Linked DNA regions of Elephas maximus indicus. The protein of the gene in region 2 purifies or fractionates together with the protein of the main gene of each other region. This does not show direct contact. Links are inferred from orthologs where the notes say so. Each region holds a gene or a part of one and is shown on either strand. Other genes may lie near its edges.

Region 1 (9,989 bases), about 180 Mb from region 2:
TTTCCTGACTGCTGCGCTTCCATGAGTGTTGACTGTGGATCCAAGTAACCCTAACCCAATTTCAAACCTAACCCAATAACTTGACTTGTACCTCCTACATAAAGTATCAAATTTCTAAACTTTTAAAGAAACTGAAGCCACAACAGCTAATCTACCTGCGCCAGCTAAATGTCTTAACAGTATTCTCCCAGCTAACTGGCTCTCAAGTGCCACTGAAAACTGGATCTGACTCTGGCATCCAACCACCCACCCAAAGTTCTAAAGAGATCCAACGTAATGAAAGCCTCTTCTAACATTCTATCAACCTCCTATTTCATAATACATTCATAAAGACCAGAAAAATATCTTTAAGTACCTTCTCAACCATTAAAATAATGTTTAAAATATGGCTTTAGAATTATGTATTACTTTTTGAAAACTGATAACTTATCATGTCACTGCCCTACCAAACTAGAATAATCCTGTACATAAAGATCTCAACTAACAAAAAAGATCAAGAGTGGCTACTCCACAAAGGACTGTTATATTCACTCTGTAAACCAGTCATCCCAACCTCTCTCTGGCTCCACTGCATTCCCATGCACACCACTCTCCTTACGTCCAGGGTTTCTCAACTCACGGAAGGGCGTAGTTTAAAATGGCGCCCTCAACACCCTGAAATTCCGATCACATCTCCTGAGGGACAAGTCTCCCCCAGGTCCCCTGAGAACCACCCTTTATGCAAACTGCTTCTTCACAGAAATCCTGTAACTCCTGAGATCCTCTAATGCACTGAAGATGTGGAGCACACTATTCATAGCGCTACCGTATTCCAGCTCCAGGCCTACCACCTAAACTATGCACTCGATTCAAGTTCTAGCTCTCTGGCTTTTCACCAGAAACACCAGGAGAACACGTATCCATGGTAGTTCGCACGGATGCTGTAAGAATCGACAAAGACTAACACAGGCAAAAAGCAACTTCGTAAATTTTAAATGCAAAAAAAGAAAGCAGTGATAAAGAAAAGCTCAGTCTTTAGGGTCACATGTCTGGGTTTGAACCCCATGTCACCATCTCTTTCCTAGGTTTCAGTTCCCTCATTTGGAAATGGAGATCAGTATCTACACTTACAGGTTTAAGGCTCTTGACTGACAAATGATATATTTTTGTACCAGTAATTTTCTTGAAGGGGGTGGGGAAAGGGACTGATTCACTCCTAGCCTTCTAACACTGCACGTCCTGATTAAGCTTTAAAACAAGCCAACAAGGGCAGTGGCTGAGGAAACCTTGGCACCTATACTCATTACAGACTACTGAAGAGACATTCAGCTTTTAACTCGATGAAAACAAAACAAGGTAACGGAAGAGCCCATCTGAGAACTCAAACAAAAAAAAAACACAAGCAACCTAATCTTCGCAGACTAGTATCTCTTTCCCTAGCCATGAATAATATCAAAGAGCCAAGTGAAAGTTAAGGACTGGTAGCACGTACTCAAATAATCCAGAGCCCCCTATTCTAATCCTGAGCTCACCATCTAATGTGCCTCAAAAAACCTTTCTATCATGTATGCAGTCACTTTGAAAAGTACAGCAAACACGACAATCCTTGTAAAGCACAGAAAATCTGGTTTAAATAAAGCCATTCAAATGACTGCTCAGTGAGTGGTCACTGTGGAAGCAGCAAGGATCTTGGAATCAAGATGGCCTCCCCTAGAGTACTGAGTCAAGCTCCTTAACCTGAGTTTTCTCAATCGCTTAAAAAATTTTTTTTTCTGGATTATAAAACAGAGTTAAGACTAATATTGCTCCCCAAGAATCTATATCGAATATATTTATTTTTAAAATAACCAATCCATCTGTTTTCTGATTCAGCCACAAAAATAACTGGGGGGGGGGGGGTAGCTTAAGTGGCAGATTTCTAATACATGGCGCAACCTTTATAAAAATCAAACATTTCTATTTCTCCAAAATGAGTGATTTTCCACTACTACATTACACCCTAACTCTGAATCTTGGCTGCCTTTAGATGGAAGAGATTTCCCACCCAAGTAGAATAATCCCTCTTCTCACACCCAGTAACTGCAAAACAAACTGTCCAACCTAGGGTCTGGTCAAGCTCGCTGGCATCACTGCCTTATGGGTCAACTGCACACTCCTGGTAGAGAGAGGTCAGCAGGCCCAAGTTTCTGCCTTCTGACTTATCTCTCAAACACTTTTGAAATAAAAACCCAAATTCCTTAGCCTGAATTCACTGCCCACAAGCTGGCCCCAGCCTTCAACACTACAACAGCTTCAGTTCTTTATAAACATACAAAGCATATACCAAAACCCCAGGTCCTCTGGACACTGTCCTCTCTGCCTCTCCCCAACCATCTTCTCTCCCCTTCCTGTTCCTGGTGGAACACTCCCACCACATCAGGTTAGGTCGGGAAGGGGGGCAGCCTGCTGTGCTCCCGACACTCCACTCACTTCCATCACTGCATATAATTACCTCACTGCAAAAACCTGAGTCCCCTCTCCGTGGGCTACTGAAGAGCTTCAAGAGCTTCACAATGCAAAAAAAGTTTTTCACAGGCTCTAGGAAAAAGATCTAAGTGTTGCTAGCTTCCTAAAGTACCCTCTATTAAGCCTGTTCTAGACTCTAAGGATCTTTCCAACAAGGGCTTGTCTTATCTCTGCCTTCAGGTTTTTAACACTCCACTTATCACATCTGTCAAGTGAAAATGTCACATAATGTCTATCCACTTGAAAATGGGAAACCCTGGTGGCGTAGTGGTTAGCTGCTATGACTGCTAACCTAAAGGTCGGCAGTTCAAATCGACGAGGCGCTCCTTGGAAAGTCTAAGGGGCAGTTGTTCTAGTGTCCTACAGGGTCGCTATGAGTCCAGATCAACTCGATGGCAACAGGTTTAGTTTTTGGTATATGAAAATGGATGGTGGAAAGTGGAAAGCTTTAAAAATGTACTTCATGTGCTATAATCTCTAATTCAACCTTTCACCTGCATGGTTCTAGCAGCCCTCCATCTTGTAGTAACTGCTTTGAAGAAGAAAAAAAAAAAAAAAAGCAATACAGGACACCTAGATGTATCTCAGAAGTCCTTCTAGGCTCCCCTAGACAGTTGGTGAAAAAAGACAAAATGACGTCCCTTTCCAGCGTTTCCAGTTTGGGGAATAATTAGAAGATAACTTTTTCTTGATTTCCGAGGACCACAACCTTTCTATTGGCTCAAAACACACTTTTACATTTATGTTGTCCCTCCCCACCTAAGTAGAGACAGGGCCTGAAATATTTTCCCATCCAACAACATAGCTGGCATTTACTACGTACTCATTAACATAAATGCTTTAACAACAGTCACTCAACTCCCAAACATCTTGTACTTGCTGAAAACTCAACTCTACGTTACTCACTTTAAAATATCTGTGGGAAATCAAAGGTGCGCCCAGCCTTTTCCTCCCCTCCCCCCGCGGCCGCTGGTTGGAGCCAAAACACTTCAGATCTTCTTTTCCAGTGCCTGTAATCCGAAAGACCGGGTTTCACCGAGCCACAAGAGGAGGCCGCCTCCTTTAACTCAATTTTCAAATTCCAAAGACCCGAGACAAGGACCCGAGACAGGGACCCGAGCAGGCCTCGAAAACATGACGGGGTCTGGAAGTGGATGAGCCAGACTAACGATGGAAAAATTTTCCCTGCAACACGGACGGAGATTGCATTTTTTTTTTTTTTAATCCCTTACTTTTTGTTTGTGTTTGTTTGTTTCTAAGGGTGACAATCGACCAGCAGGTCCGATCACTCTACGAATACCTACTGCGCACCTGGGGAGGCGGCGCGGAAGCCGAGAGGGACTTCAGGCCGGGCCAGAGCGTGGGGCGGTTCCAAGAGAGGCACTTACAGAGGGGAGGGGGAGTGGGCGACGCGGGGGGGGGAGGGGAGAGGAGAAGGAAGGGGAGAGGAGGGAGGGAGGAAAGAGCGAGCCAGCTGGGGGGGGGGACAGCCTGATCCGCCCTCGCGGCCTTTCCCGACACCCCCCCAACGCTACCGTTTACCGGGGCCGACACTGCGCGGGGCCCTGCGCGCGCACTCTCCCCCCTCCCCCACTTTACGAATCAGGAAACGGAGACCCAGGGAGAGGAGCAGGGGTTACGCCACGCGCCCAAGGTCACCGGACCGCCGAGCCGGTCTCGGACCCGGGGCTCACCGGTTCCAGGGCCCGCGCCATTATCCTCGGGGGCAGAGACGGGGCCTGAGGCCTCGACGTCAGGGTCGGTCCCGACCTGATGGGGGTTGAGGCCTGAGGAGTGGGAGACAAGCCGTGAGGCGCTCCCGAGGCCGCCTGGCTCCTCGGCCGGCCCTGCGGGAAAGGCCAAGGCCGAGGCCGCGCCGGGGGAAGACCGCCAACAGACTAACGGAGTCGCCGCCGCGAGTAGGCTGCCGGCCGCCGCGAGAGAGCCCAGGCCAAGGAATAGTGGAATACTCACCCCTTGGGGCCCGGAGCCCCGTTGCCGCTCGGCACGCCGGTCGCGCCGCTCTCCTCCTCCATTTTGGGCTCCGTCGCCGCCACCTCGGCCGCCGCTTCGACCCCTGCCGCCATTTTCTTCGCGTCTGGGCTTTGTGTGAGCGAGGCAGCTGCGCGGCGCTGCGCCTGCGCGCTCACGTGACCCGGCACGACCAGTAACGCCTGCACGCGCCGCGGCCGGCTCCCGCCTTGTCCCCTCCCGCCCCGGCCACGCCCCGGCCCCGGGCCACGCCCCCGCCGCGCGCAGGCGCACACTGGCAGCTGTTATTCATTCCCGCGACAAGCCTGCATTAGGCACCGACGGGATCGCTCAACCGTTTTCAAAGTCTGTTGAGGAAACATCGCCCATCCGGACCTAGTCCCTCCCAGCTTTCTGTAGCCAGAGCTGGGGCAAAGGGACAGCGACAGCTGTCTAGGGGTTTCTAGAAGCGTCAACCAACCAACCAATTAGTTGCCTTCAAGTCGCTCCAACTCATGGCGACCCCATGTGTGTCAGACTAGAACTGTGCTCCATAGGGTTTTCCAGGGCTAGTTTTTCAGCAGTAGATCGCCAGGCCTTTCTTCCGAGGATTCTCTGGGTGGACTCCAACCTCCAATCTTTTGGTTAGCAGCCAAGCGTGCTTAACCATTTGCAGTACCCAGGGACTTCCTGGAAAGTGTACAAAAACATAAAGGAGTTAGCCAGACACTGTGAGCAGAACGTGGGTGATCCAGGTAATAGGACTGGTGTGAAAAGCACCATCTCTCTAAGCACCTTGAATATCTGAGCTGGGTCCAACCTGTCCGCCTACCATGCTGGAAGGTTCTGGGTGCAGAGACCCTGGCCTACATCTCCCTCCCTGAACCCATCTGTCAATCAGCAGCCAAACACATAGCTGGGGACTGAGTAAGTGCTCATGGATGTTTTCATTAACCTGAACTGGGGTTCCTGCCTGGTACTGGGCTGTGCCCTGACCTGACCCTTCTCCCTTGTGGGGTCCCAACCAAGTGTCAGCTCTATTCTCAACCTTGTGTGTCCAGGGCTGTTATGGGGCTGTGTCCTGGGGCAGCCACATTGGGACTGCAGCCCAGGTGAGTATCCAGAGGCCTCAGGCTCTCTTCCCCATCCAAGTTTACCTATGGTGTCTTTGGATCTGTGAAATGCCTCACGGGGTCTGCAGAAGTTCCCATTCAACCACCATATTCTTTCTAGGCTTGCCAAGGGAAAGACTGGCTTTCTCTCTCTCATGGAATGACTACATTTCGTCAGGTTCTGGCTGAACAGCTCAACCACCACACCCTCCCAGCTGCTTAATTTAGCCTGGTCATTCTGACCCCAGTTTGGGAACTCCTAAACTAAGCCAAACTGTTGACATTGAGTAGATGCCACAGCGTCACTCCACAGGGCTTTCAAGGCTTTTTGGAGCAAATGGTTAAGTACTCGGCTGCTAACTAAAATGTTGCTAGGTTAAACCCACCCAGAAGGGCCTTGGAAGAAAGGCCTGGCAATCTGCTTCCAAAAGGTCACAGGCTGGAAAACCCTATGGAGCACAGTTCTACTCTGACACACATGTGGTCGCCATGAGTCAGAGCTGACTTGACAGCCAGCTGGTTGTTTTTACCTTTAGAAAGCAGATCACCAGGCTTTTCTTCCATGGTGCGTCTGGGTGGGTTTGATGGCTGGGTTCAAACTGTCAACACTACTAACCAAACTGTTGGCAGGGAGGGGCTTTCTTCCTCTGGGGGTGAGCTACGTATGCTGGGATTCATGCACAAAACAACAGAACAGCACTCAAAATACTCAGTGGCCACAACTCAAGGATACCCATGATCATGAAGATGGCGTAGGACCAGGCAACGTTTCGTTCTTTTGTACATGGGGTCACCATGAGTTGGAGCTGACTTGGTAGCAACTAACAACATGTTAGAACAAGTATAAGAAATCTTCGCAAGGATAAACACCAAGTGGTGGGCCCCTCTGGGGAGAGTGAGGTGGTTTGATTGGGTAGCTGGGGGCCACAACTGTATTAGTAATGTTTTGTCTTTCTTAGACATAAGTTGATTTATTTATTAAAAATAATGGTGAAATATCATTAAAGTGAAACAGGAAATAATAATAAAATTAAAAATAAAACAGAATGGGCCACAGGACAAATCACTGTGCTGGGACCCTCAGCACTGTGTGACCTTGGGCAAGTGACCCAAACTCTCTGAGCCTCAGTTTGCTTATTTGCAAATGTGGTTAACACCAGAAGCCACCTTTCAGGGCTGCTGTGAGCGTTCAATGCCACCCCATGCAAAGAGCCCTTAGTGTAAAAAACAGCATACGGAGGGCACAGAAAGCTTTCAAGGAGGAGGTAATGTGTCATGGATTGAATTGTGTCCCCCAAAAATATGTATTGTAATTCCTAACCTCTACAGGGTTGCTGGAAACCCTGGTGGTGTAGTGGTTAAGCGCTAAAGCTGCTAACCGAAAGGTCGACAGTTGGAATCCACCAAGCGCTCCTTGCGCATAGAACTCTGTGGCGCAGTTCTATTCTGTCCTTATAAGGTCACTATGAGTCGGAATCTGAGTCGGAATCGACTCAACAGCAACAGGTTTGATTCTGGGTTTTTATAGGGTCGCTGGAAGCCCTGGTGGCGTAGTGGTTAAGAGCTATGGCTGCTAATCAAAAGGCAGGTAGTTTGAATCCATCAGGCACTCCCTGGAAACCCTAAGGGACAATCAGTCCTACTCTGTCCTTATAGGGTCACTATGATTTGGAATCAACTGGAATGCAACAGGTTTGATTTTGGGTTTTGATGCCTGTGGCTATAATCCCATGGGTTGTCTTTGTTGTGTTAATGAGGTAGGATTAGCATAGGGTATGTCTTGAGTCAATCTCTTTTGAGATATAAAAGGGATTAAACAAGCAAGCAGAGATGGAGTAAGATAGATGCCAAAACGTATGGAGATCTCCAAGGAACCAGGAAGCAGAAGCTGAAGAGACAAAGGCTTTCCTCTAGAGCTGTCAGAAAGAGAAAGCCTCCCCCTAAAGCCAGTGCTCTGAATTCGAACTTCCAGCTTCCTAAATTGTGAGAAAATAAATTTGTTACAGCTATCCCGTTGTGGTATTTATGTTACAGCAGCACTAAATAACTAAGACAGGCTGTTATTAACATGACCACGTTCTGCTTCCCCTAGCGCAGCACCAGAGCGGCACAGACCTGGGGTCAATCTCCGTGTCCATGTCCTACAGCTGTGGGACTTGAGACAAAAGCTTCCCTGCTTGGGTCGCAGTCTTCTCATCTACAAAATGGGAGTAATACCTTCTTCCTCCCCTGCCCCAGGGTAGTTGTGAGTTAGAGGGATGCCGCCTGGCGATAAAGGTGGATGTGATCTTCATTAATGAGTGCAATAGGCCCAGCATGGTATCTGGCCCATAAAAAGAAAAAAAAAAAAAAAACCCACTGCCGTTGAGTCGATTCTGACTTATAGTGAACCTATAAGACAGAGTAGAACTGCCCCATAGAGTTTCCACGGAGTGCCTGGTGGATTTGAAATGCCGACCTTTTGGTTAGCAGCCATAGCACTTAACCACTATGGCACCAGGGTTTCCGTCTGGCCCATGGTAGATGCAAAAGAAGTGGAAGTACGTATTATATAACAGTGTTACCTGCTTGTCAAGGAATTCTGGTGGCACAACAGTTAAGCGCTCAGCTGCTAACCAAAAGATTGGTGGTTTGAACCCACCTAGCAGCTCCATGGGAGAAGGACCTGGTGATCTGCATCCGTAAAGATTTCAGGCGAGAAAACCCTACAGAGCAATTCTACTCTGTCACATGGGGGCTCCGTAAGTTGAAATCGACTCGACCGCACCTAACGACAACAACAACCTGCTTGTCACTTGAAAATTCAGCCTTCACCGCTGCTTCCTATGTTCTGTGATCCCTCAAACCTGCCAAGTGTATTTTTTACCTCCACATGGCTCCTGACTCCCCTTGGGCCCCGGGGCCCCTCGCTTTGAGGCCTAGTTCAGAAATATCACTGACAAAGCTGAGCAAGGGCTCCCTTTATTCACTTAGGGTGGGCTTGGGAGAAACAGTGCAACTTTATAAAGTCGAAGATGCCAGGGAAGCAAGTCTGCCGGGGCAGAAAAGCGCAAGAAGCTTGCCGGAGCTTTCCGGCCCCCTTGACACACCAGCCATGGCTGCCAGCGGGGAAAGGTGCTGAGTGGACCTCAGGATGAGATCAGGGTGCCCGCTCTGTGTGAAGCTTGGGGCCGCATCCATCTGTCCTTGTCATATATGACAGTGTGCAAAAAACTTGGAAATCTAGTCACATGTGATCCCAGAAGAAGCTCCGCTTGGCATCACTTGGCCTGTGAAGCATTCTGGCCGTGTGGGATTGGATGAGTTCGTCCGCCCTTCTGAACACAAGGGCATCCCCAGCTGCCTCTGCCCTTTCTGCTGCAGGACCCCACCAGCCGGGCTGTCACACGGGCGTCTCCTCGGCCACCTTCTTCAGGAGTCCAGCTGCGAGTGGGGAGTGCTGGTTGCTCTCGAAGCCCTCTGCATCCCGGAGCTTCAGGCGGACTTTCTGGTTGGTCCTTCTCCATTCGGAGTACAGCTGGCAATGGTAGCGGAAGGAGACCTGCAGGACAGTGAGGAAGTGGGTGATGAAGGCCGGGCTGGCTTCCACCCCCAGGTGAGTAAAATGGGGACCGTGGAGTACTGCCTTGACCCAAACCAGGCTGAGCTCACACTTCCAAAAGCAGAGGCAGCATCAGGCTCTGCAAACAGCCCTCTGCCTCTCCCCGGGCAACTCCCCACTGGCACCCAGAGTCCTACCAAGGCGAGGTGGGGTCTGCGGCAGGGGAGCAAGGGGACCCCCTCTCGGCTTCTCTTTTCATCCTCATCATTGCCCCACTGCGTTGGTGGGAGGGAAGGGAAACAGCCTCTAGGGAGGGATTCAAGGTCATGGGCCATAACGTTTAATCAAGCCAGCTCCCAAGAAACATTTGCACAGGTGCCCAAAGCACTGTTCCTAACGGCAAAAAAAAAAAATGGAAAGAATCCCAGTGTCCGTCAAAAGGGATTGGTTACGTAAATACTGTGCACCCAGACGAGGTAAGACATGGGGAGACCGATTCTTTTTTAAAGGACATCGGCTAAGTGAAAACAAACAGACTGCAAAACAATATGATTTGATACTCCGTTAAATACGTATATATAACACATATGTAAAAAAAGAATCCAAAGTGGGGGGAAATACATACACACACACACTGTATAGGTGCTGGTGGATGTATTAACAAACAATTCATGAGGAGGGGACCCCCACATAACAGTGGTTAGACTTTGGGGGGCATTGATTCTCTGAGCCAGAGTTCTAAGGCCTGCTGCAGCCAGGACAGCACCCCCCATTCGCTCTCTCTCTCGATCTCTCTCATTCCTCTGCTCTTTCTCTTTCAGTCTTTTGGGCTCTGTTTCTCTGTCTCTCTCAATCTTTCTCAATTTCTTAACATCAATCTC
Region 2 (10,476 bases):
AGGGGAGTGGCTATCTTGGCCCAGGTGGGTGAGGTGGGTGGTTTGGAATGTCGGGAACTGACTTCATGGGCAGATTCTAAGATTTTGCTGTTGGATTGGGCTCCTTGGGATCTGGGCTGAAGAGAGCTTGGGAGATAGTTAACTTGGAGGCAAAAACCTGAGGTTTGGGTCCTGGCTCTGTCACTTGTCAGCTGTGTGGCCTTGAGCAAATCAGTTAATATGTCCAGCCTCAATCTCCTCATCTGTAAAATGAGGATAATGGTGCACCTCAAAGAGATTTGAGAGAATTACGGTGATCTCAATTATGAAAGGGTAGCCAACAGTGAGACCTGCCCAGGTGTGAGGTGTCAACAGTGAGACTTGCTGGGGTGTGAGGTGTGAGGAGTTGGTTCCATACCCATTATCCAGCTGCTCATTCCAGCAGAGCTGGAGCAAAGAAGGAAAACAGCCCCACTCTGGTTCCGCACCTGGCCTGTCCGCATCAGAGGGACATCAGTGCTGGTCCTTTGGGGTGCCTTCATACCTCAAAATCTGTCTGGGGTGCCATCTCATCTCCTGGGGTAGTGTGGGATGGGGTTGGAGCACTATTTTAGGGGGCCTGGCCCTGCCTGGTCATGTGACTTGGGGAAATTTTTCCCCTTCAGGCCTCAGAAGCCTACCTATAGAGAGAAGGGGTTATTCCTCAGAGCCCTGGGAGACTCCTGGAGGGGGATCACCAGACAGAGGTCCCCCAACCTCCCTCCTAGGGAGGCTGTACCTGTCATTTAGAATATTGGGTTTTTTTTTTTTTTTTAAATCATGAGGGCTTTTTTGAGTGAGGTTCTGTGGCCTAAAAGAATGGCTGTAAATCACTTGCTCCTTCTAAGGACTAGTTTTAGTTATCTAGTGCTAATGTAATAGAAATACCACCAGTGGATGGCTTGAACACAGAAATTTATTTCCTCACAGTTAGGAGGCTAGAAGTCCGAATTCAGGGTGCTGGCTCTAGGGGAACTCTTTCTCTCTCTGTCGGCTCTGGAGGAGGGTCCTTGTCTCTGTGAGCTTCTGCTCCTGGGAGATCTTCATGTGGCCTGGCATCTCTTTTCCCCCATCTCTGCTCTCTGGTTTAATCTCTTTTATATCTCAAAAGAGATTGACTCAAAATACACTAATCCTGCCTCATTAACAAAGACAACCTATTCTCAAATGGGATTATAACCACAAGCATAGAGGTTAGGATTTACAATACATACTTTTGGGGACTTGGGTTGGGTTAATTCAATCCATAACAGGCTTCCTCCCACCCCCAATCAGCTATGACCCTACTAGGACATGGAACCAGTTCATTCTAGCTGGAAACCCTGCTAAGAATTTGCATTTGTATCAAGCTCCTAGGCGATGCTAATGCTGCTGGCTAGGGACCAATTCTCAAAACCACTAGTAGAGCCCAGTCCAAACCAAACCCACTGCCATGGAGTCAATTCCAACTCATAGCGACCCCATAGGGTTTCCAAGACAGTAAATCTCTACAGAAGCAGACTGCCACATCTTTCTCCCAAGGATCCCTCGGTGGTTTTGAACCGCCACCCTTTTGGTTAGCAGTCAATCACTTTAACCACTGTGCCACCAATGCTCCTAGTAGAGCCGCGGTTCTCAAAATTTATTATACATAAGAATCACCTGGGGATCTTGTTAAACTGTAGATTCTGATGCAGTATATCTAGGGTGGGAATAGAAATTCTCAGCAGTGGTTCCAGTCCACACGGGACAAAGGCCACAGTCTCCTCAGCTGTGCTGTTGTTGTTGGACTCATAGGCCGACTCACAGCCCTGTGTGCAACAGAATGAAACACTTCTGGGTCCTGTGCCATCCTAACACTCAGCCGTGTTACCTCAGGCCAATCACTCAACCTCTTTGAGTTTTGGGTTCTTGGCATATAAAATGCAGATGATAATACCTACCTCATAAAGTTGAGGTGAAAATTAAATGGGATCACCTCCACACAGTCCTTAGCCTGGTGCCTAGCACAAGGTAGTGGCTTCTTTAGAACAGGCAAGTTCTTCCATGCTCAAGGTTATAACTATCACCTGTGCCTGAGTGACTCGGCTGTTCAATAGCTGTTTAGTGCCAGACCCTGTGTTCAAAGGATGAATAAGTTAAGAACCCTCCCTCAAGAAACGCTAAAGGAATTGCTAAGCCATGGCCTTGGGTCTCTAAATCACCCCCACTCTCCAGAACCTCCTCCAAAGAGTCACCCCTTCCCACCCCCATGGAGGAGTAGAACTGCCTCCCCAATGGCTTAGGATCCCGTCTGAATGCTCCTCTCTCCCACTCCCACCTGTCCAGTATTACAGCCTGACAATTCCAGTTCTGCTACTATCCATATGACCTTAGGCCAGTGGTTCTCAACCAGGGGCCATTTTATCTCCCCTCCCTAGGGACATTTGTCAATGTCTGAAGACATTTTTGATTGTCATAACTGGGGGCGGAGTCACTTAGTGGCATTTAATGGGTAGAGAGGCCAGGGATGCTGCTAAACACCCTGCAATGCACCGAACAGCTCAGCTCAACAAAGAATTATTTGGTCCTTTTTTTTTTTTAAATGTCAGTGGTGCCAAGGTTGGGAAATCCTGCCTTAAATGATTTCAGTTTTCTCATCTGTAAAATGGGGATAATAGTAGTATCCATTTGCTAGAGTTATTATGTAAATTCAGAAGATTATGCAAACACCCAGTGCCTACCAACAGTCCATAAATATTCCCTAGAATAATTGTTATTAGGATTCCTCTGAAACCTTCCTGGTTTCATCCCCCTGTTGAGACTCAGCCCAGTTTAGCTTGTCTTGCCAATACCAATGCCTCTGACTCTTTCCTTACTGGTCTTGATGCCTCCCTTCTCCTTTTGACCCCAAGCCCTACCACGCAGCTAGAATTTTCTGGCTCAGAGCCCATCCCAGTACCAGAGCTCTTCTCAGCTCCCTGCCTCCACCTCCCACTTCTCTTCCCGTAGTCTCCGACCTCACCTCCCTGCTCTTGCCAACTTCAGCAACTCTACACAGACTTCCTCCCAGCACCAGTCCACACCGCGCATCTCTCATGCTGCCAGCCAAAGTGGCCTAAGATAGTGAAGCACACCCTAGATTTGGACCAGGCTATCCGGTTTCTAGTCCAAGCTCTGAGCTCTGGCTATTACTTACTGTCTAGTCTTGGGAAAGCAAGCCTCACCTTTAAAACAGGGAAGTAACCTCCAGCCCATGAAGGGGTTTTGTGGACCAAGTTAGAGAATGTATTTGAAAATGTACAACTATAAACGGCATAAAAGTATGATTCGCTGTTTGAGAGCATTGCCCTGCTTTATATTTTTATTTCCATAGCACTTAACCACCTTCTAACAAACTGTAAATTTGTATCTTTTGTTTATGGGCTCCACTAGAATATCAGCTCCATGAGGCAGGGATATTGGTCTGTTTTATTCACTGCTGTTTCCCCAGTGTCTAGAACAGTGCCTGGCATGTAGTAAGTGTTCAATAAGTGTTTGTTAAATGACTGAATTCACTGTGTATACAGCACCTCTGTAGAGTCCCTAGATCTCTCTTTTCCAAGAAGCCTTCCTTTAAATGCATTTTACCTTATTTAATCATTACAACACTCCCATTTTACAGATGAGGAAACTGAGGCTGAAAGAAGTGAGTCTTGCTTAGAATCACTCTTCCTGAAAAGTAGCAGGGCCAGATGCATTTGTTCATCCAAGAATCACTGAGCATCTGTTGTGTGCCGGGCACTGGCCAGATGTTGGGGTCACAGATGACCAAGACTTGGGCCTTTCTGTCCCTCAAAGAGCTCATCTTTGAAGGGGGGGATGTAGAGGGAGGCCCAGAATGCTATAGGAGCACAAAAGAAAGGCCTCCACCAAGATCATTGGCCTCTAAGACAGGTGCCCCTTCCCTCCCCAAGCCATCCCCTGGTCTTCACCCACCATATCCTGAGATCACTCATTAACTCTCCAGGCCCCAGCCTCCTGGGGTTCATTTAGAATTTATTATCCAATTCAGTGCCCTATGCTACTCTTTGTGCTTGTTGGTTTTGCCTCTCCCTGTCTTTTTTTTTTTTTTTTTCAGTCTACCCTACCCGTGGGCAGCTTCCTCGAGGGCCAGTGTAGCATCGCTGTACCCTGTCCACCCTCTGCACACTGAGGAGCTCTGTCCTCATGTGTCTAGTAGACTTTCTGGCCATGTTACACATGAGCAACCAAGGCCCAGAGAATTCAGTAGCTGGTCTGGCATCACGCAGCAAGAGAGAGGTAGGTTTGGAACCTGGTTGCCACCCAGGAACAATTCCCCTCCACCCTCACCCCAGCAGACCCAGCCCTGTGGGACCTGATCTCTTCTGCTCTCCTGGGAAAGCAAACAGATAGCATTTGGGGGGCCAGGGTTAGGATGAAATGTTCAGGAACAAAGGCCCACTTTGAAGTTCAAATTAGGAATTGATGCCATTGTGGTGGGAGGGAAGGCCTTTTGGAAAGAGCCCAGAGTGAAATTTGGGGTGAAAGCCCTGTTCCTTTCTCCTGCCCCTTCTCCCCAAAGATGAGGTGGTCCAGGATAGGAAGAGTTAAGTGTGGTTTTGCCTTCCCAGCCAAGAGGGGAAGCCAGGCCACTGGGTGGGGCGGAGGGGGGGCTCGGTGCCAGGGAGGGGCTGAGGCAGCGGGAACAGCACGAGCCGTCCCCTCACGTTTCTCTGGCTCAGCCACCCTGCCTCTGCTCTTGGTTTGGGGAACAGGAGAGGGAGAAGCAGAACAAGGCTTTTTGTTTTGTCTGGGAAGCTGAGGGTGGGGTGCTGCACCCTGGGGGAGAGGGCTGCAGGGAGGGGAGTCATGTCCTGAGTCCCAGAGGTGGGTGCTTACCCCACTGGCCAGTCACCCTCACAGAGATGGGGACCTAGGCACCCCCTCCCATCAGTCCCTCCCTGAACAGAGTCCCTGCCTTAATCCCACTACTGCCCCTTGTGCACTTTGAAGCCTGGCTCCAGAACCCAGAACTGAGGAGCTGCCCAGCCCTGCTTCCCCTGTCTATTACAGAAATCCTGCTATCTGGGAGCTGTAGGAGTTAGCAACATAATTTAATTTCCTGGGTTCCTCATCAGAGAATAAACTGTGAGAGGCATCAGGCGGGTCAGGCAGGCAGATGGGTCCTCGAGCCTCAGCACTGACACCTCTTAGAGTGGATTAGGTGGCTGGTGGGGTCAGGGCCAGGATTAGGGGGGGGAGCAGGAGGCTGGTCAGAGGGTCCTTGGTGAGGCCCAAGGCTCCAAGGCCAGGAAGTCTGGGGTCCTGGGTGCTCCTGTCATGTAAGAGTCCTGGTTCCCTCCCCAGAGCCAGCTGCAAATCAAACCTGGCCAAGAGGAGTGTAGTGAGGGAGTGCTGGCCTTTGTAGCCAGTGAGGCTGTGGGTTCTTGGCTATCCCTAACCCCCTCCTTTCTGGCTGGAACTGGGATGAAGACCCAACATTGGCTGCCCACGCCCTGGCCCTGCTCCCCCTTTTAGGCCCCTCTGGGAACCACAAAAATCTGGGACCTGGTGTCCTGGCAACATGATGAGCGCACGCACAGCTCTGGTATCTGTTTTAAATTATCCATTAAAATAAGTACAGTTCTGGAAAAAAATAAGTACAGTCCTGGAGTTGGCTGGGTGGGGTGAGGAGCAGAAAGGGACTGAAAGGGGGAGAAACCTAGGCATCCTATTTTCCAACTGCTTGGGACCAAAGGAAGGGGGCAGGAGATGGGGGGTGCAGATGCCTGGGTCCTATTCTTGGCCTTCTCTGGGAAACTGGGCTTGGGTGTAAGACCCAACACTTGGTTTCGAAGGGAATAAATTCAGACAGAAGATAGGAGAAAACCCAAAAAACCCATTGCTGTCCAGTCGATTCTGATTCATAGCGACCCTATACGACAGAGTAGAACTGCCCCATAGGGTTTCCAAGGCTGTAATCTTTATGAAAGCAGACTGCCACATCTTTCTCCCAGAGCCGCTGGTAGGTTCGAACTACCAACCTTTCCGTTAGCAATGGAGCTCTTGTGCCATCAGAGCTCCTTGAAGATGGGGTAAAGGGACCCCCAATTCCTGATTCTACCCCAAGACTGAGGGGGTAAAGGAACTCAGGACCCAGAACTTCGCTGTCCCCCGGGGGAACCCCGGCATTCTTTCTCCACCCCACCCCTGGCATGCCGAGATGCAGCTTTGAATGGGCTGCCCACGTGCGGAGGGGGAGTAGGGGTGACTCACTGTTACTACGGGGAGGGAAGGGGGGGAGAGGGAAGGGGGAGCCTGTGGTGGAAGCAGGGTGAGTCACCCTGCTAGCCACCAGCCTCCTCCCTCCCCCCACTTTCCTGTAGCCCAGCCTGCCCGCCTGGACCCCTCCCTTTGCTTTACAACTGGTTCCCCCTTCCCCCTGCCCTTTGCCCACCCACTCTCATCCCTTGGCTCTGCCCTCTACCCCAGAAGGCAGAGGGAGTCGGGGAAAGCTTGGAGCTAGGAGGACTGAGTAGGCAGGAACCAAGACGCAGGAGCTTCAGCGAAGTCCTAGGCAGAAGGCAGTGCGCGGGAGAGGGTGGGGCCCGTCTCCGCCCCCGTCCCCCAGGTCCTCTCAGCTCTTCGCCGATCCCACCCGGCCCCTGTGGGTATGTGACGGCCCCTTTAAGAACAGTGGCCACTCCTCCTTTTCCATAGACCTATTAGAGCCTTTGCCCCGGCGTCAGTGACTCAGAGAGTTCGCGGGAGCACTGCATCTGCACTAGCCAACCCGGATCCCGAAGTCCGACAGCGCCCGGCCCAGATCACCACGCCTGCCAGGAGCAAGCCCAGAGCCAACCGGCCGGCGCGCTCCGACCCCGAGCAGTCTCTGTCCTTCAGCCCGAGCCCCGCGCCCTTCTCGGGACCCCTGCCCCTAGGGCAGCGCTGCCATCCTGCCGGCCATGGAGACTCCGTCCCAACGGCGCGCCACCCGCAGTGGGGCGCAGGCCAGCTCCACCCCGCTGTCGCCCACTCGCATTACCCGGCTGCAGGAGAAGGAAGACCTTCAGGAGCTCAATGATCGCCTGGCGGTATACATCGACCGTGTGCGCTCACTGGAGACGGAGAACGCAGGGCTGCGCCTTCGCATCACCGAGTCCGAGGAGGTGGTCAGCCGCGAGGTGTCCGGCATCAAGGCCGCCTATGAGGCCGAGCTTGGAGATGCCCGCAAGACCCTCGACTCGGTGGCCAAGGAGCGCGCCCGCCTGCAGCTGGAGCTGAGCAAAGTGCGAGAGGAGTTTAAGGAGCTCAAAGCGCGGTGAGTGCGCCCAGGTGGCAGCTTGCCGGGCCCGGAGCAGAGAGGGCAGGCGGAGCGGCGCCCTTGCCGGGCTACAGGAAGGGAGCGAGAGTGCTTTGGGAGGCTGATAAGTTTGCCATATAGTCTCCTCCCTCCCCGGAACTGCCCCAGGCGAGGGACTGGCGGTGCCAAGGAGAATAGTTGTCATAGGACAGAGAGGGAAGGGGTCTCTGGGAGAGGGTGGGAAATACAAGGAACAGTGGGAGCATCCGGGCCAAATAGGGGCTCGTGGCAGGCGGCATTCCGTTAGGGTGGGGTTTGCCTGCCATTTGGAGCCTGGGGGAGAAGCTTGGTCAAAGCAGAACTGGCCCTGCTAGGTATGAAAAATCTAGGCACCCAGGGCACACTGGAGTGGGTGAGAGGGCCCTATTAGAACTTTCTTGGCAGCCTTGGCACTATGCCAGATTTGGGCAAGCTGGCTCTGAGCACGTGATGCACACTAAGACAGAACTCCCAGGCTGGCAGATGTCCAGTGGTGCTGGAGAGAGGTCACAAGGCAGGGTGACCCCCTTCTTCCCCTCCAGGGGCGTGGCAGTGGCCTCCTTGGCATGACCCTTTCCTGAATTCTTGCTAAGAGTCAGAAGCTCTTTCTTACTCCCTACATGCCTGAGACCTTTCCTGAGCTCTGACAGGCCCACCAAAGGGCTCCAGGAGTGCAGCTCCCCCGCAGCTCCCACAGCCCTTGGCCTGCTTGGCCCAGGAATGCAAGGGAGGGAGGGAGACCGAGGGCAGAGGCTCCAGGCTCAGGAAGTTGTGTTATGCCCAGGTCTGGTGGCACCCCCCCCACCTTGGTCGTCTTGCCTGGTGTCTGCAGAGGGTCAGGCCTCTATCCCTCCCTCTCCCTCCCTGTCTGAGTGAGCCACTTTCATTTTCCCAGCCAAGCCCGAGCAGTCTTTGCTCTTGGTCTGGCCCATCCTCTCAGCCGCTGACGTTTTTGATCTTTGCCTTATTAAACTGCTGGAATACAGTGACATTTTTGAAATCCAGCCGTTGGAAGCTTCAGGCCACTCCCACCTCACCCAGTCCTGCCCCACCCTACCACACCCTACTCCACTCTACCCTTTGGAAGCCTGGAAGTTTAGGCCCTCTTCTTCCAGCCCCCCAAGAATTTGGTTTCCTTCTCCCTGCTCCCCTTTCCTCTATGAAGACCCAGGCCTAGAGATCCCAGGAGGGCCTGTGGGTTTTGACCTCCCCTCTCCCTCCGCATCATTTTCTCCAAACTCCTGCTCCTTCCAGATCCCCTCTATGTATTCTATGGTTGTTCTACCCCTTCACCACCCCTGACCCTTCACTACACTCTGCTCAGAGGTATAGTGGGTGTGACCAGATCCTATCACCCTTCTAATGAGTGGAAGGAAGTTCCTTGGGGAGACATGGGTTCAACCTGTTGAAAGAGATCACTCCTATCTTTTTTCCCTACTAATATGAACAACTTAGCAGGACAAACTGGAGGCAAACAAGGTGTGTCCCTACCCGCACTGGACTGGTTGGAAGAATTAAGAGAATTAGTGCTCTAAACTAGTCCACTCAACTGCCTAGGCAGCCCCTTGCCTTCCAGATTCTTATGAAGGACATCTTTAGCAGATGTTTTTCTTGAGAAGACATTGATCTGGCCCACAGGATGAGCAGCGTCTATAGTCTCTTGCTAACTCAGCCACACCGGTCTGTCTCTTTTGCCTTCTGGTGCAGCTGTCCAGGCTTGGGACACCAGGCGGGTGTGTGTGCACGTGGGGCAGAGGCGGGGGTGGTGTGTGTACTTGTTATATTTAGCCACCTGCCTCTCTTCTCCCCCACTGATCCTGACTGGGCTTCCGGGAAAGGGGGGCGGGTGGTGCACACCTGGATCCCAGGCTGATGGGAAGTAGGGGTGAAGGGACGAAGGGGGCTTGGACTGGAGTGCCTGTCCCCTTTTATGTCTCCAGTAGGAGGAGCCAGGATTTGGTCCTCCCTTTTGCGCCTGCTGTCCTCAGGGTGGGGTGGAGAAGTGGGTAGAATGAAGAGTTTGGGAGAGGAAGAAAGGTATTGCCTCAATCCCTCCCACTGAAGCTTGGAGAGAAGGTGTTGTCTGGTTTAATGTTTAATTAGAGCTCAGAGTTCAGGGTCAGGCTTGGAGTTGGGATGCAGAGCTGCCTGTAAGACCCTGTAGCAATCCCTGGCCCAGGCTGGGTACCTTGACCACACCCAGGAGTTTGGGGCTTCCTTTTGCTGGGCTAGGTTATAAGCTTCCCGCAGAAGGCCCTCCTTCCCTCCCCCCACCCACCCAACCACACACACACACTCTTTTTACCCTGGAGCCTGAAAGATTTGGATACCCAAGTGCAGGGAGAATGGGAAGGTTGAGAGTGATAGGGAAGGCCCGTCTGGGGGTCCAGGCTGGGAGCTGGGCCCCACCCCAGGTAGGACAGCTGAGTGGATGACTCAGATGCTGCCTCCTCCTTCCTACCCTGGTGGCTTTTCAAGAGACAGGGTGGACATAGCAGATGTCTTAAAGGAGGGGATGGAGATCTGAATGTGTTAGTGTTCTATGCCCCTTCCTACTGCATCTTGGGGTCCTTTTCCTCTGGTGATGTTCTAGAATCAGGGTTCTGGACAGGCAATATGCACAAGTGGTTCTAGAGTTGAGTCCAGAGTTATGGGCTTGGGCTGTAGGGGTTGCTGGGGTTGCCAGGGTCTGTGCCTTCCCATACGGAACTGACCAAGGAAGCCTGAGTCACAAGTAGGGTGATCCCAAGCCCACAAAGCAGAAGTACCTCTTCCCCCCGGACAGGGCTCTGGTGCTTGATGACTTCCTGGATTGTCCACCTTATGCAGCCTCACTGAGAGGTGCAGGCTCTGATAGGACAAGGATAGCAAAGGCCACAGAGGTTTGTCCCATATCACACACAGCAAGTGGATAACAGGCCAGGACTTGAGCCCAGGCCTTCTGACTCCCAGCCAAGTACTCTTACCATTAAACCTCACTTCTCTAGCTTAAGGGATAGGTCAAAGGGCTCTGAGGGTGGGGGCTAGAGGCCCAGCCCCTGGGTTCTGAGCTTCACTCCTGAGGCCTGGAGTTTCTGCTCTGGGACCTGTGATGCCTCGATGCTCTGCTCTCCTGCCAGGGCCTGTTAGCACTTGATCAACAGCCCTTGCCCCAG

Evidence for each region.
Region 1: the proteins of LMNA (region 2) and HNRNPM fractionate together in Homo sapiens (co-fractionation; 3 studies listed by BioGRID, with this or other methods). This does not show direct contact. The link is inferred for Elephas maximus indicus from reciprocal best matches to the Homo sapiens genes LMNA and HNRNPM.

What each region holds. Positions count from the first base shown.
Region 1 is NC_064821.1:13,147,911-13,157,899, reverse strand, and holds the start of HNRNPM (heterogeneous nuclear ribonucleoprotein M), read right to left. Parts: upstream 4,618-9,989; 5' UTR 4,572-4,617; coding exon 4,459-4,571; intron 1-4,458. Other genes in the region: E3 ubiquitin-protein ligase MARCHF2, read right to left, coding at 8,950-9,108. UniProt on the Homo sapiens protein: Pre-mRNA binding protein in vivo, binds avidly to poly(G) and poly(U) RNA homopolymers in vitro. Involved in splicing.
Region 2 is NC_064821.1:193,909,119-193,919,594, forward strand, and holds the start of LMNA (lamin), read left to right. Parts: upstream 1-6,703; 5' UTR 6,704-6,944; coding exon 6,945-7,300; intron 7,301-10,476.